Tamandua tetradactyla: one gene and its partner. The protein of the gene in region 1 interacts with the protein of each later gene in a pairwise test. Links are inferred from orthologs where the notes say so. Each region holds a gene or a part of one and is shown in the gene's direction. Other genes may lie near its edges.

Evidence for each region. The genes of interacting proteins can lie anywhere in the genome.
Region 2: the proteins of EFHC2 (region 1) and TSSK3 interact in binary tests that used the Homo sapiens proteins (3 or more experiments, as listed by UniProt). The two-hybrid records come from large-scale screens. The link is inferred for Tamandua tetradactyla from reciprocal best matches to the Homo sapiens genes EFHC2 and TSSK3.

Annotation. Positions count from the first base shown.
Region 1 is NC_135353.1:127,137,061-127,144,650, forward strand, and holds the start of EFHC2 (EF-hand domain-containing family member C2), read left to right. Parts: upstream 1-4,590; 5' UTR 4,591-4,711; coding exon 4,712-4,753; intron 4,754-7,590. UniProt on the Homo sapiens protein: Microtubule inner protein (MIP) part of the dynein-decorated doublet microtubules (DMTs) in cilia axoneme, which is required for motile cilia beating.
Region 2 is NC_135328.1:193,531,449-193,538,605, reverse strand, and holds TSSK3 (testis-specific serine/threonine-protein kinase 3), read left to right. Parts: upstream 1-4,274; 5' UTR 4,275-4,523; coding exon 4,524-4,668; intron 4,669-4,933; coding exon 4,934-5,047; intron 5,048-5,369; coding exon 5,370-6,031; 3' UTR 6,032-6,607; downstream 6,608-7,157. UniProt on the Homo sapiens protein: Serine/threonine protein kinase required for spermatid development and male fertility.

The DNA of each region.
Region 1 (7,590 bases):
AAGGAAGAAAACAAGGTAAAAGCAAACAATAATGAGGATTAAGAATAGAAATGAATAGGTCAAATTAATAAGTCAAAATTCTGATACTTTGGAAAAAAGTATGTGTAGATAGGTAGATAGAAAGATAGATAGATAGATATACCACTAGCTACATTCATCAAACCAAAAAAGGAGAAAAACAACTGTATCAAATAAGAAAGACAAAGAAGAAACAAAGATGAAGAATAAAAGTTTAACATGGAATGCAAACAGAAGTGAATGATTCCAAATGTTTTTCAGATGAGTAGTATAAACACTTTAGCTGGTGTGGGGGGAAACTGGGATAGAGGGCAAAGGCTAACCTAAGTAAATTTTGAACAAAATATTATGACTATATACACTAAGATGAAAGAAACAAACAAAAAAACACTGAGAAAATATTAAACTCTAGTTATTCACTTATTTTTCACAAGAATGTGAGTTAGATGTTCTGAAACTGCTTCTTGGGTCTTCTAGTATTGAACAAGTAGGTAAATATTTACCATTCTCCACTAAAAGGAATCAGTGATACTTGGAGAAATGGCTTATTCCAGGGTTGGGGCAGGGAAACTACCAAATGAGCTGGAATAGTATCTTATAGCATCAAAAAGGAAGTGCTCAAAAAATAGTGGGGATGATCAAAAGAACACAGGAGTCAGCTTCAGAGGACAATCTTGGACAATTTTAGAATCAAAATAAAGAATACTAGCGGATTATAATTCACTGAATAAAATAAGAATCTGTGAGATCACTTTGACATAAATAAATGGAGAAGAAGGAAAACTCTTCCTTGTAGGAGAATGTCAAATATAATAATATATGTAGAAGGAGTGATAGAGTTAGTCAATCACCATTTGGCAACTATCATGGTAATAAATGATTCAGGAAAAATAATTAATTGATACTAGTAGTTTAATGAGCAACTTGATATTTATATAATTTCAAAGTATCTCCTCACAAAATTCTTATTGATTAAAAAGGAAAAAATTGTAAATGTTACAGTGCAGGAACTTGGCATGCATCTCCTTCACCAAGTGATCACCAATGATGTTACAAATAGACATTATGTGCTTCTTCATATGATAAACTAGAAGGACACAATACTCCTTCCGTGGTGTCCCAGTCCAAAATTCATCACCTGCATGTACTCAATAGGAAACATTAGTCAAACCTGAATTGATGGATGTTCTACCAAATATCTGGCCTATTCTCGTAAAAAATATCAAGGTCATGAAAGTTAAAGAAAGGTTGAAGACTATTATAGATCAAAGGAGAATAAAGAGACATGACAACCAAGTGCAGTGTGTGAACTTTGATTACATTCTGAACCAGATTTTATGTATTTCCGTATTTACTGCTAGAAAGGACGTTATTGAGACAGTTGGCAAAGTTTGAGTGCTTTTTAGGTTAGAAAATGGCATTGTATTAATGCCAATTTTCCGATTTTGGTAATTTCACCTCAGTGATGTGAAAGAATGCCCTTGATCTTAGGATATATACACTGAATTATGTAGGAGTAAAAGGGCATATCTGCAACTTAATCTCAAATGGAAAAAATATGTATATAGGGAGAGCATAATACAACAAATAGGGTAAAATATGAAACAATTGGGGGAATCAAGTGAAAAGTAAACAGGAGTTTTTTATATTATTCTTTCAACATTTCTATAATGTTGAAATTATTTCAATTTAAAAACAAACAAAAATAAATATTTAAAGATGTTTGTAAAAAAAGTAGGAGAATAACTTCTTTAGGAGTAGTACAAGATTTCCTGATTTCACATACAAAGCACAAACCATAATGGTAATGAAAGATGCATTTGAATAGAATAAAATATCAAATTTATGTACAATAAATGGAATTAAAAGACAAACTACCAATAGTGAGATTTTTGCTATGCTTAAAAGCAGTCATCGAGGACATAAAAAAGCTAGAAATAAATTAGATAATCACAAATTTGCCAATATAAACATCAGCAAAAGATCCTGTGCTGGTTTGAATCTGTTATGTACCCCAGAAAAGATATGGTCTATTTTTAAAATTTATTTATTTATTATTAATTTTTAAATTAAAAAAACATAATAAACTAATGCAAACATTCTTATGATCATTTCGTTCTACATATATAATCAGTGATTCACAATATCATCACATAGTTGCATATTCAACATCATGATCATTTCTTGGAACATTTACATCAATTCACAAAAAGAAAATAAAAGACAACAGAAAAAAATTCATACATACCGTACCCCTTACCCCTCGCTTTCATTGATCACTAGCATTTCAAACTAAATTTATTTTAACATTTGTTCCCCCTATTATTCATTTTTATTCCATATATTCTACTCGTTTGTTGACAAGGTAGATAAAAGGAGCATCAGACACAAGGTTTTCACAATCACACAGTCACACTGTGAAAGCTATATCATTATTCAATCATCATCAAGATACATGGCTACTGGAACACAGCTCTAAATTTTCAAGCAGTTCCCTCCAGCCTCTCCATTACATCTTGAATAACAAGGTGATATCTACTTAATGCATAAGAATAACCTCCAGGATAACCTCTTGACTCTGTTTGGAATCTCTCAGCCATTGACACTTTGTCTCATTTCACTCTTCCCCCTTTTTGTCCAGAAGGTTTTCTCAATCCCTTTATGCTGAGTCTCAGCTCATTCTAGGGTTTTTCTCAATCCCTTGATGCTGAGTCTCAGCTCATTCTAGGATTTCTTTCCCACGTTGGCAGGAAGGTCCACACCCTTGGGAGTAATGTCCCACATAGACAGGGGGAGGGTGGTGAGTTTGCTTGTTGTGTTGGCTGGAGAGAGAGGCCACATCTGAGCAACAAAAGAAGCTCTCTTGGAGGTGACTCTTAGGCCTAAGTTCAAGTAGGCTTGACCTATCCCCTATGGGGTTAAGTTTCATATGAACAAACCCCAAGACTGGGGGCCCAGCCTTTGGTTGTCCGCACTGCTTGTGAGAATATCAAGAATTCAACTTGGGGAAGTTGAATTTCTCCCCGTTCTCATCATTCCCCGAAGGGGATTTTGCAAATACTTTTCCACTCACTGATCAAATCCCTGTGGGATTCATCGGGGCATCAGTCTGGACAAACCAACAAAATCTCATGTTCTACCCAGGATTCCAAGTAGTTTGTTATATTTATACTTTAATGTTCATGAAACCAATAAACCAAACCCAGGATGCCGGTAGCCTTTCCTCAGAGAAGGTATCTTCCTCTTGATGTCTTAATTTGGACAACAAAACAAACGAAAGCAAAAAAGGCACTATAGTTCCTGCCCTTGGAGGAACTTGGGGGAACATATGATTACAACATAGTGGGATAAAAACCACATTATGGATCAGTCCCTAATACACATAAGAGGTGAGCTGGAGAAAGTGAGGGAACATGTCACAGAAATGGTAGAGTCTTCTATGTGTCTCTCTTACACTGAACCAAGTCTTGAAAGACATGAAGGGATTATGCAAGTGAAAGATAGGCAGGAAGGGTGTTTCAAGCAGATCATGTTATCTGCAAAACCCCAGAGGAGTTGCAGGACCTGATTTGGAAATTACTAGTGATTTTTTCGGAGCTGGAATAGGAGGGATGGCAATGAAAGGGACAGAGAGAGTATCAGCAGGTATCCTCTGAGAAAGGCTCTTTAGATCAGGTTAAGGAGTTTGATTGCCTTCTGAAGGTGGAAGGAAGGATAGACTAGTTAAATGGTAGAGTAACAGGTGCATCATGAATTACAAAAGTATTAAATGATGGTTTTGAAGGCAAAATCAGTTAGATTATTATTTTTTTTTTAAAGAAGAAAACCGGGCAAGGAAAAATAGGGGCTCAACTGAGATCAAGGAAGTGGTAATTAAAAGCTACTAGAATATCCAAATAGTAGGACTTGGCGAGGCATTAGCTTTAAGTGTGGGGAGAGGAATCGCGGAAATTCCTGGCCTTGGGCATCTTGGGTGGATGGAGTGATGGGCTGCCTTTTGTGCTGCTTCACCCCACTGATTGGACCAAGAATGAGCATCTTACTTACAAATGTTTACTTCAAATATAAAAATACACAGGGGAAGGATTGAGGATGGTGGCTAATGAATAAATTTTCGTGTGGGGGATGGGTGGGGTATGTGTGGCTTTAGATTCATCTAGAATGTCTTCCATTAATTAAAGCTGATGCAAGCGCAACATAGGAAAACATTAATGTATGTTAATTCTCAGTCGGTACACGGGTGCCATATTATTTTCTGTATGTTTGACCTATTTAATAACTCAATTTCAGAACCAAACGGTAAAAAATATTGTGGCAAGGATGGAAGGTTCTTAAGTACATGAAAGGCTTTGGGATCTATAAAAGTGTTAAACCAGAAAGCGGCGGGGGCGGGAAGTGGTGCGGTTGTCAGCCTTTGTGTGTGCACAAAGCATTGACTGAGAAAAAGACTCTGGAGACCTGCTCTCGGCTGAGCGCCTGTGTGGGTGGGCGGGGCGGGGCGGGAGGGAGGTGGTGAGTGAGGGGGAGGTTCTCTCTCCGCCCCCGCCAGCCTCGCCCCACCCCCTCTGTGACACCGCCTCCCGTCTCCAGGTAACCGATGGGCCAAACAACGCGGCCCTAGGCGGCCGCAACCTGAGGCCTAGAGGCCGCCCCTCTTCTCTCTCTCTCTCTCAACCCTCCGACGCTCAGAGCCATGACTCTGCCGCTGCTGCCCGGCAACAGCTTTAACCGCAATGTGAGTAGCTAGGGAGCCGGTGTCAGAGCTCCGGCCCAGGCTTCCTGCCGTTGGTTCTTCTCCTGAGGGTTGCCTCAACTTTATAGCCTAGTGGAACCCTTACCTCTTCGCCTACACCCGCTCCCCCCTCCCCCAACTGCATCTGGGGGCTTTTCCTACATCAGATACATGAGTCCTAACAGGTGGCAGGACCCTTGAAGGTAGTGAAGACGATAGTGATGATGAAAATACTTAAGAATTACTGTTGAGCGTTTAAGATGTGCCAGGCACTGTTCTTTAATCGCCTTACGCGTCATCTGATGCTCCCAACGGCCCTTTGAATTGGATGCTATGTTGATTCCCATTTTACAGTTCAGGAAACTGAAGTACAGAGCGACCTCACTCACTGGTCCAAAGCTACACAGTCTCATAGTCCAGGGAACCTAATCATTTTCCTCAAATCACTGTGTGAACGAGATAAATATAGTACTTGTTAGTAAAGCGAAGAAACCTCAAGGGGGCTGAAGGTCAGGGTGGCATCCAAACGTGGAGAAATTTTTCTTTATTCAGAATCGGGAGGATCCATTTCAAAGCAAGATGAAGGAACAAAACAAAACACACACAAAAATCCTTGGGCGTTGATGAACTTCTGCCAATAAATAACACCTTATTTAAACAGCAGAAGAAAAGTGCTTGGGACTTTTGTCTGCATTGGTCACTACTCTTTACTTGGTTTTGCCAGTTGTGTCTGAAGGAGAAGGTAACTAATAGATCAATGGAAGAGAACTAAATGAAACCCTTCCGGATATTTACTTAAACCTCTGATAAATTTAGAAACCAGGTGGCCAATTGAAGCATTCAGCTTTATGTGTTCAGGACAGTGTATCCAAGTTGTTAGCCCTAGAGTAACCCCCTTCTTTGTAGCTTTAGGCCGTTAGATTCTGACCCCTACATAGGGTCTGCTCTTTCTGACTTGTACTGATTTGGGCATTTCTTGGCTGATGGGGAGAGGCTGGCCATTCAGCATAGCATTGGCCTTTGGTGGTATTAAGCCAGTCCTTCAAATAAGAATGGATCCGGGGAGGATGGGTATGGGGAAAAAAAAGAGTTTGGAAGTAAAGAAGCATGCTCTGTAAAAGAAATGATTTTTAATAAAGATTGAAAGTACAGCCCACAACTTTTGGCCAGACAACACTTCGGATTACTGCTGCACCTCATGCAGAAGTATCATAGCTTTCATATAGAACATTAAGTGTGGGAAAGAAAAGCAGTGGTTGGATGTGCTATTTTAAAATTTGCAAGGCTGTATGTACTGAGTGTACTTTTGCTTTTTTTTTAACTTATTATATTGTGTGGTACAATATATGTACAGAAAAATACACAATGGATGATCACAAAATGAACATTAAGAAATAGTACATTACCAGTACTTCCGAATTGTAATCCATAACTAGAGTTGCCAGATTTAGCAAATAAAAATACATGTCCCAAATATGGCATGGGACATACTTATATTAAAAATCATTTATTATTTATCTGAAGTTCAGATTTAACTGGGTGTCTAATATTTTATCTAGCAATCCTACTTCTGATCTTTTCTGTTGATCATTCTATCCTCACTCTCCAAAGATAACCGCTATTCTGGTTTTTATAACTATGGTTAGGTTTTACCTGCATTTGGACTTTCTACAAATGAAAACATCTGGTGTTTATTTTTTTCCTGACTAGCTTTTGTTGCTCAACATTATGTTTATAAGGTTTGTTCATGTGGCTATCTGTGGAGGCAGGTAGTATGTTTTCATTGCTCTGTAGTATTCCACTGTGTGAACAATGACATCATTTGTATATACATTTTACTCTTGATAGATATTTGGCTTGTTTGGGGTTATTAAGAATAGTTCTGCTCTATTCCTGTTCATACCTTTTGGTATAATTGCTGGGTCATGTGGTGTTCATATGTTCAGCTTTGGTAGACACTATCAGAGTCTTTATACCAATTTAAATTCTCACCAGCATTTTATGTTCCTCTTGTTCCATATTTTTTTTCTAATATTTGATATTGTTATTCATTTAAACTTTAGTTATTTTGGTGGGTGGATGTAACACAACTCTCTGTAGTTTTAATCTGCATTTTCCTGATTCCTAATGAGACTGAGCATATTTTATACATCTATTGGTCATTTGGATACTCTCTTTGTGCAATGCTTGTTTGTCCCTTGTCTAATTTTCTATTGTTTTTTTTTTTAATGAATAATTTTTCCTTTAGGTTAGTGCTTTCTAAGCTGTTCTCCCATGTTATCTTCTGGAAATTTTGTTATTTTACCTTTAGATCTACAATCAACCTAGAAGACATTTTGTTTGTGTGTATGAAGGAGGTGGGGTTCAGGTGGTAATTTTTATTCATATGTATATTCAGTTGTTTTAGGACCATTTTTGGAAAAGGTCCCCCTTTCTCCACTTCTCTGCAGAACAGCCTTTGTCATTAATCAAGTGCCACAGGTCTGTTTCTACACTCATGAATGTGCTTTAAAAATAAACACAAAAAACCAGAGGATTATTTACTTTATTCCTGAGGCCAATGAAAGTGTGTGTGTCCAGAGAATGAAGAGGGTATTAATTAGATAGATACCTTGGTCTGTCATTCAACCAATTAATATTTATTTGTTAAGCGTCCTAGTATGTGCCCAAATCAAGTGGCTGCGTTTTAAAAATTGTTGCATTAGCTTTGGTACTAAATGTGATGTATGTTGCCCCCCAAATAGTATTATTTTTAAAACTTTTACTTAGTTAAAGGATTGGATGATCTATGGGATAGAATGGTTAGAAAGGTAAAGCCAAATCTTGACTTCTCATCTCCC
Region 2 (7,157 bases), on another chromosome or scaffold:
AGATGAGAGATAGGAGAGTGAAGTAGCTTGGGCTGGAGCCTGTTGTCCTTCCTGTTGCCGACATTCTAAACTCCTGAACCTGGTGCTCGAAGGCCCCCAGACCCAGCTTCTCTTCTCTTAACCCATCCCTGGATCACCTGAATTGTGAGCTCTGCAAGGGCAAGGACATGGGATTTGTCAGATTCTGGCCTGTGTTCCCAGTATCTGGTCTGGCCTAGGTGGGTATTGGTGAAAATTGATTGAGCTTGAACTTTTCCTCCACTTTCAGGGCCTTTGTCCACAATATTCTTTTTACCAGGCATGCCCTTATCCGTGCTTGTGGACATTCTAGAGCTAACTATTCCCAGGGTCTGTTCCCATGGCAAGGGCTGTATCTGGAATCATTGCATCCCTCACCCACCAAGCCTGTGGGAGGTAGCAATAAATGAAAGGTGGGTTGAGAAGAGGGGAGAAAGAAAGTGAGGGAGAGAAGAGAGAATGGGAGAATGAGAACGATTCAGCATTTCAGGGTTGACAGGGTCCCTAGTATCCATCTGGTGCCATTTTTTTTTTTTTAACCAATGAGGAAATGAGCCCAGAGGGAAGTGACTCACCTGAGGCCCCCAGCAGGTTATTGCTGGATGATGGGTCTTGTGAGGGAGGGCAAGGCCTGGGTCTGCCAGGTTTGCCACTGAATCCCTAAGTGTACAGGCCTGCCTGGTACACCTGTGGTGACTGATTTAGGAACAAGCCTGTACTTCAGCTCAGTGGCCAGCCTCCTGGTGCACCTGTTTAAGGTTCCTCATTGTCTCAGAACAGTGAGGCCTCAGCGCCCTCTACTTCTTGTTTTTTCACTTTAAAAATAAGTTCACTATAACTAATGAAAATAAAATCTGACAGATATTTTCAAACTTTTCAAAAAAAAAGTAAAACCCTCCCTTGTTCCCTCTCCCCACAAGACATAGTGTAAGAACTTGGGACAGAGAAAATGCAAATTAAACATGGGATATCATTCATCTCTTGGTCAGTTCTAAAAGGTTTCAACACATCGCATTCTAATAAAGGTCCATTAAAATGAAGAAATCAACAAACCATTTGACATGTCCATAGTTTAGCTTTCTACTGTCATTGTGATTCTTATTTAAAATGCTGAAGTTATTTTAGAACAGCCTTTACCCCTTCTTGATAGGCGTTTCCTCCAGTGGGGAACAGCTCACTGTGTCCCAGGCATACCCAGTTTTTTCAGAAGTTGTTCCCGCTCCTGGAATGTTTCTTCTCCATCTCTATTCTTCATTTCCTGGTGATGCAGTCAATCACCTGGCTGTGCTCCCACCTCAAGGGTAGGCCTGCCTGGTCAATTGTAATTTCCCATCTCCCTGCCATGGTAACTGGTCCAATGGGTGTGTATGTGATTTAAGAAGGGCTAATCGCTGCCCTTCCCGGGGACAGGGAAACTGAGGCTGAGAGAAAGCAGCTTTCCCTTCTAGGGCTTCCTGCTCAGAGGAGATAGTCAGGGACAAGAGAAGAACAGAGCAGGGTTCTGGTCAACCTGAACTCTTGGTTCCAGTCCAATAGATGTCCTGATTCCCACAATTCATTCTTTAATCCTTTGAACTAGCCCATACTAGTTTTTTTCCTGGCTACTTGAACTAGTGAATTCCCCCCCCCCCCTTTTTTTTTAACATAAACTATCTTCTGTTGCTTGCAGTGGAGGGAACTTGTCAATACAGAGGCCAATATTTTTTTTCTGTTTAAAATGACCACAGCTTCCTAAGGTGAGAGAGTCCTATTTACAGAGAAAGAGGCCCCTTTGGGGTGGGAGAGCGGCAGCATGGGGAGTCAGGCTGAGTAGGGCCTGCAGTAGAGTTTGGTGGTGGGGATGGAAGCAGCTGGATTGCTCCACCCAGCAGTGGGCAGCACTGAGTCTGAAGGTAAGGGTGGGGAAGGAGAAGAGTGAAGCAGGAGAGAGGAGCTGGCACTACGGCAGAAGCTGGACACTGTTCTGGAAAGGGGAATGGCAAGCATGGAGGGGTTTTCAAGAGCCAGGATGTTCAAAGAAGCAAGAGTCAAGTCTAAAGTTCTTATTTTGAAGTTTACCTTTTTTTTTTTTTTTTTTGGCAATCCCCCTCCACCCACCTTCCAATAACGCCTCCTACATTTGAGACTCTCTGGGGGAGCACTTTGTGTGGAAATTGAGAAGGGTGTCCCTTTTGGTGATGGTAGGATTCTGAAGTGCTCTAGGGAGGGCCTGGACTTGTACCAGCTGGATGAGGGAGGGGTGTTGGGTCAATTGTATTTAGATCTCAGGTGAGAGGAGACTGAATCTGACTCTTGGGTTATGCTTTTTCCAATTAAAAAGTAATTCAGTCTCTTAATAAAGCAAAACTGGAAAATGGAAAATACTCTTTTAGCTTAAATGCTAGCCTCTCCTGGCAGCCTTCGTGTAGGGAGCACCTCCTGGGTGGGTCGGCGCCAGCCTTCCCGAGGACGGTGAGTGTGGTTGGCACCGCGGACCGTCGGGGGTCCCAGGCTCCGTTCCCTCACCTGTAAAATAGGAAGTTAAGAAACCAGTTTTTCAAGTGACCTCACTCCCAAGCTCTTTTTGTAGTCCCACCAGCCCTCCGAGAAATCAAGGCTCAGGATGGACTGGGGCAGCCCTTGACGGCTCCGACCAAGTCAGAGGTGTCCAGGGTGACAAAGCAGTAGGTGGGAGAACCTAATTGGGAGAATTAAATGGGCAAGTAGTGGGTGGCCATTCCCTTTAGTCTAAGCTGTCCGTTCACCTCTCCCGCCAGTCCCGAGCTTCTCGTACAGATCTGCTCTTGTAACGCGAAGTTCACTGGAGAGTCAAGGAAAGGGCGGAGGAGAGGATGCAGAGGGAGGAAGGGCTCCACAAGAGTGGGAAGTTGGATGCCGGGTGGGCTGGGTGTGGCGCTGGGCCAGAGGAAGGCAGGCCCAGGAGGGCCGGGGCCCAGCGGGGAGGCGGCGGAAGGGAAGGAATTATTGGATGGTGCCGAGCAGCCGGCGGACCCGATCCGACGGATAGACATACACGGCCAGCCCGGAGTGGAAAGAACAGTTTATGCTGTGCTTTATTAAAATGTGCACCATTCTTTTATTTTAAAATGTGCATCATTGTCTCGTGCTCCGCGCGCGCCACCTCAGCGTGGGGCCCGCGGCGAGCCTCGCCCCCGCCCGCTCCCGCGGAGCCGCTGTGCGCAGGCGCACTCAGGTGGCGCGGGCCCGGGGGCTTCCGCCCATGGCCAAGTAGACGTCGATGGGCACGTGCAGCAGTGTCAGGCAGTGGCAGCCCGGGCAACGTCGAAGCGGCCTGGAGAGGGCGGGGCGCGACAGGAGATCGGGAGCCTGGCCCACCCCGGGAGCACACCTGGCGTCCCCCGAGGTTCGGGTGTGAATTTGGGGAGCGTACCGGGGATGGCGCGTGAGATGCAGGAAACCCGAGGGAAGAAAGGGGTAAAGTAGAGCTGGGAGTGGCTCGGTGAGGGAGATGTACCTGGGCAGCAGTCTATGGGGGCACACCTCCGGGCGGTGGGGAGGGCCTGGGCGTAGGACGGGTCTCGCGGTGGGGGCACGGGCCTCACCTGACCGGATTGTGCTCTGTAGCTACTGGCTCCGGGCTGTCCTGGGACTCGGGGGCAGCAGCAAGACCAGGGGAGTCTCCAGCCTCAATGGGGAATCTCCGACCTCGCGGGGGCTCCTGGGCACTCATGTCCTGGCCCCGGGGCGCTCTGCGCGGGGAGTGGCGGTCAGGTCCTCCCAGGTCAGGCGCCCTCTCTCCGCGTCTGCCCCCTGGCCGTTGCTCACCTGCCGGTGGCCGAGGCCGGTCCCAGCTGGAAGCAGCTGCCCGAGCCCTGGCCACAAGAGGACGCTCCGGTCCCGGTGGAGCCGGGGAGGTGTCTGCGGCGCGTCCGGGCTCGGGCGTCGAGGGGGAGGGCTGCATTGTGACCTAAGCCGTGGCGCGCTGACCTCACAGAGCCCGTTCCTCCCGCCGGGGAACCTCTCGCCGCCCCCGACTGCCAGGGCACTTGGCGCGGACAGGAACCGAGAACTGAAGGGCGCTTGACCCTGGCGCCTTGAGATTGGATGACGCTGACCCCCAGCCACCGGGTGGAAGCACAAGAGGCTAGGGCTGCTTGCCTCAAGGAGGCATCCGCACACAGATACCCCGAATGCGCTCCCGGGCGGGACCGCGACTCATTGCCAGGCGGGAGCGAGTGGAGGCCGTGACTTAACTGCGCCGGTTTTGGTGGTGGTGGTGGTGAGGGCCGGTAGGGGCACTGCCCATTTTGGCTAAGGGTCACACAGCATTTACATCACAATTGGGCCGGAGTTTAAAAATGTCTGGTCCTCTCCCTCCCCACCACCCGCGGCTGTGTTCAGTCGGAGAATGTTCTAGCGTTGGGGGCGGCTGCGGATGAAGTCCTTGGGGGGGAAAAGGAGCAGGCAAAGGGTGATGGTGGAGTAGAGCTGCCTCGTGGAGGCAGCATGAGCTGAGAGGGTGATAGGAAGGAGGCGCTAGAAGCATGGAGGACTTTCTGCTCTCCAATGGGTACCAGCTGGGCAAGACCATTGGGGAAGGGACCTACTCAAAAGTCAAAGAAGCATTTTCCAAAAAACACCAAAGAAAAGTGGCAATTAAAATTATAGACAAGATGGGAGGGCCAGAAGGTGAGCTGGGGCCCCTCTGGAGGAAGGGAGGGCTGGCTGAGATGGGTAGATCCTTCCTCCGGTCAGAAAAATCATTCCCTCCTGGCCTTTACTCTGGAACCAAGGAAAGCAAGCCAGATATGGCTTTGGGGTAGGAAGGTGGGGAACAGAGTGATGCTCGAAGTTCAGGAGCACTACTCCTTCCAAGTCCAAGATTAAAGGAAGTGGCAGGAGATGAAGGGTCCTCAGAAGCAGAACCTGAGCTATCAGATCTTTCCTATTCCAGGAGGGGAACAAACACTGGCAGAGGCCACAACCAGGAATATCAGAAGGCAGGAGCCAGTGCCAAGGCCAGGCAGAGGTGGGAAAAAGGAAGACCCAGCTCATGGAAAGAACGGTGGTAGGAAAGCAGGCATGGGAAGAGCTAGCTCACTCCTGTGGGCAAATCAGACCCCATAACTGAGGTCCAATGGCTTTGTCTGTTAAGTCTCCAAGGCACTTTGATCCCACACAGGCTGCCCACATCTTTATGGAGTAATTTTCCTGCATATTATATTAACCATAAGAATAACCGAGGTGAATATTCTTTGCAGAGTGCAGCCAAGGAACAAGACCCAGATGTGGTAGGCAGACAGGCAAACAGGAGGAAGGCAGGAGATGGTAGTGGGGAGTTAGGCCCTTCTGGACTTGATTCCCCATTTCTACTCCCTTTGTCTCCTCAGAGTTTATCCAGAGATTCCTGCCTCGGGAGCTCCAGATTGTTCGTACCCTGGACCACAAGAACATCATCCGGGTGTATGAGATGCTGGAGTCTGCTGACGGGAAAATCTACCTGGTGATGGAGCTGGCTGAGGGAGGGGATGTCTTTGACTGCGTGCTGAATGGGGGGCCACTGCCCGAGAGCCGGGCCAAGGCCCTCTTCCGTCAGATGGTTGAGGCCATCCGTTACTGCCATGGCTGTGGTGTGGCCCACCGGGACCTCAAGTGCGAGAACGCCTTGCTGCAGGGCTTCAACCTGAAATTGACTGACTTTGGCTTTGCCAAGGTGCTGCCTAAGTCACGCCGGGAGCTGAGTCAGACCTTCTGTGGCAGCACAGCCTATGCCGCCCCTGAGGTGCTGCAGGGCATTCCCCACGACAGCAGGAAGGGTGACGTCTGGAGCATGGGTGTAGTCCTGTATGTCATGCTCTGTGCCAGCCTACCTTTTGATGACACAGACATCCCCAAGATGCTGTGGCAGCAGCAGAAGGGGGTGTCCTTCCCCACTCATCTGGGCATCTCGGCCGAATGCCAGGACCTGCTCAAGCGGCTCCTGGAACCAGACACGATCCTCCGGCCTTCAATCGAAGAAGTTAGTTGGCATCCATGGCTAGCAAACACTTGATAAAAGCAATAGCAAGTCCTCCCCAATAAAGCAGGGGGAGAAAGCAAACTCAAAAACCTGCTTCTAAATGGTGATATATATTTTACACTTTTAAGTTTACCCTAAATCTACTTACACCCCCCCTCCCCCAAGTCTTAATTCTCTTTCCCTTTAAGATCTTGGAACCAAAGGGCCTCATTTAGACCTCTCCTTTACCATGATAAGTGGTTTTCATGGTGTTTAACTAGATAATTAAAACAACCCCCCAAATCACACACACACGGGGGGAGGAAAAGAGAGAAAAATGACCAAGAGCAATTGAAATACTGTTCTTGCAACTTCCTTTCCAAATAAAAGCCGAAGCACTGGGAATGCAGAAACGGCCTCTTTGACTCCTTGTCTTGGTGAGAGGCCTGCTGGGGGGCCTGTCCCTTCCTCACCTCAAAGCCCAAGCTGAGTTTGGGATGAGGACAAGGGACTTCCTCAGGACCCAGGCTGCTTCCCTACTCTGTCCCTCCCCCATCAGGTTCCAAGCTGAAGCCACCCCTGCAGTATGTACACCTGCCCTGGATCCAGTGCAGCTGCTGTGGGGGACAAGGACAGATCCCCAGACACCTTCCAGCTTCTGTTGAATCTTTTTAATGCTGTTAACGGCAAGTCTGTAAAAGGTTCAGGACAAAGTTCATTTTTCTTTCTTTTTTAATTACAAAACTAACAGCTGTTAGATTTTTTTTTTTCCTTTTTTCTTTTCCCAGCTACAAAATATTCTGGGGAGATGCATTATAATTTAAAATATATAATATTGCACAAACAACCAAAAGGTTAAACTAAAGAAATAATTACAAAGAGAAAAACCCCATCCCGTCCAAAAAAGATTCAGCATTCTTTCCCTCCCACCCTCTCACTGAAGGTTTGAAGCGCAAGTGACCACCACTCCCATGACAACTCTGACCATGATTCCTTTAAATCATTGGTGAGCACACAAGATTATGTACAAGAATCACCCAAGCAGCATCGTGAAGCACCAAGGTCTCCAGGGATTCCTGCAGCCCCTCATTCCTCCGAGAGAGATGCAGCTGTACCAGAGAGGAGAATGAAAGCCACAAAGGCTGGGTCTGTCTTCAGGAAGAAGACTTTTGAAGAAGTC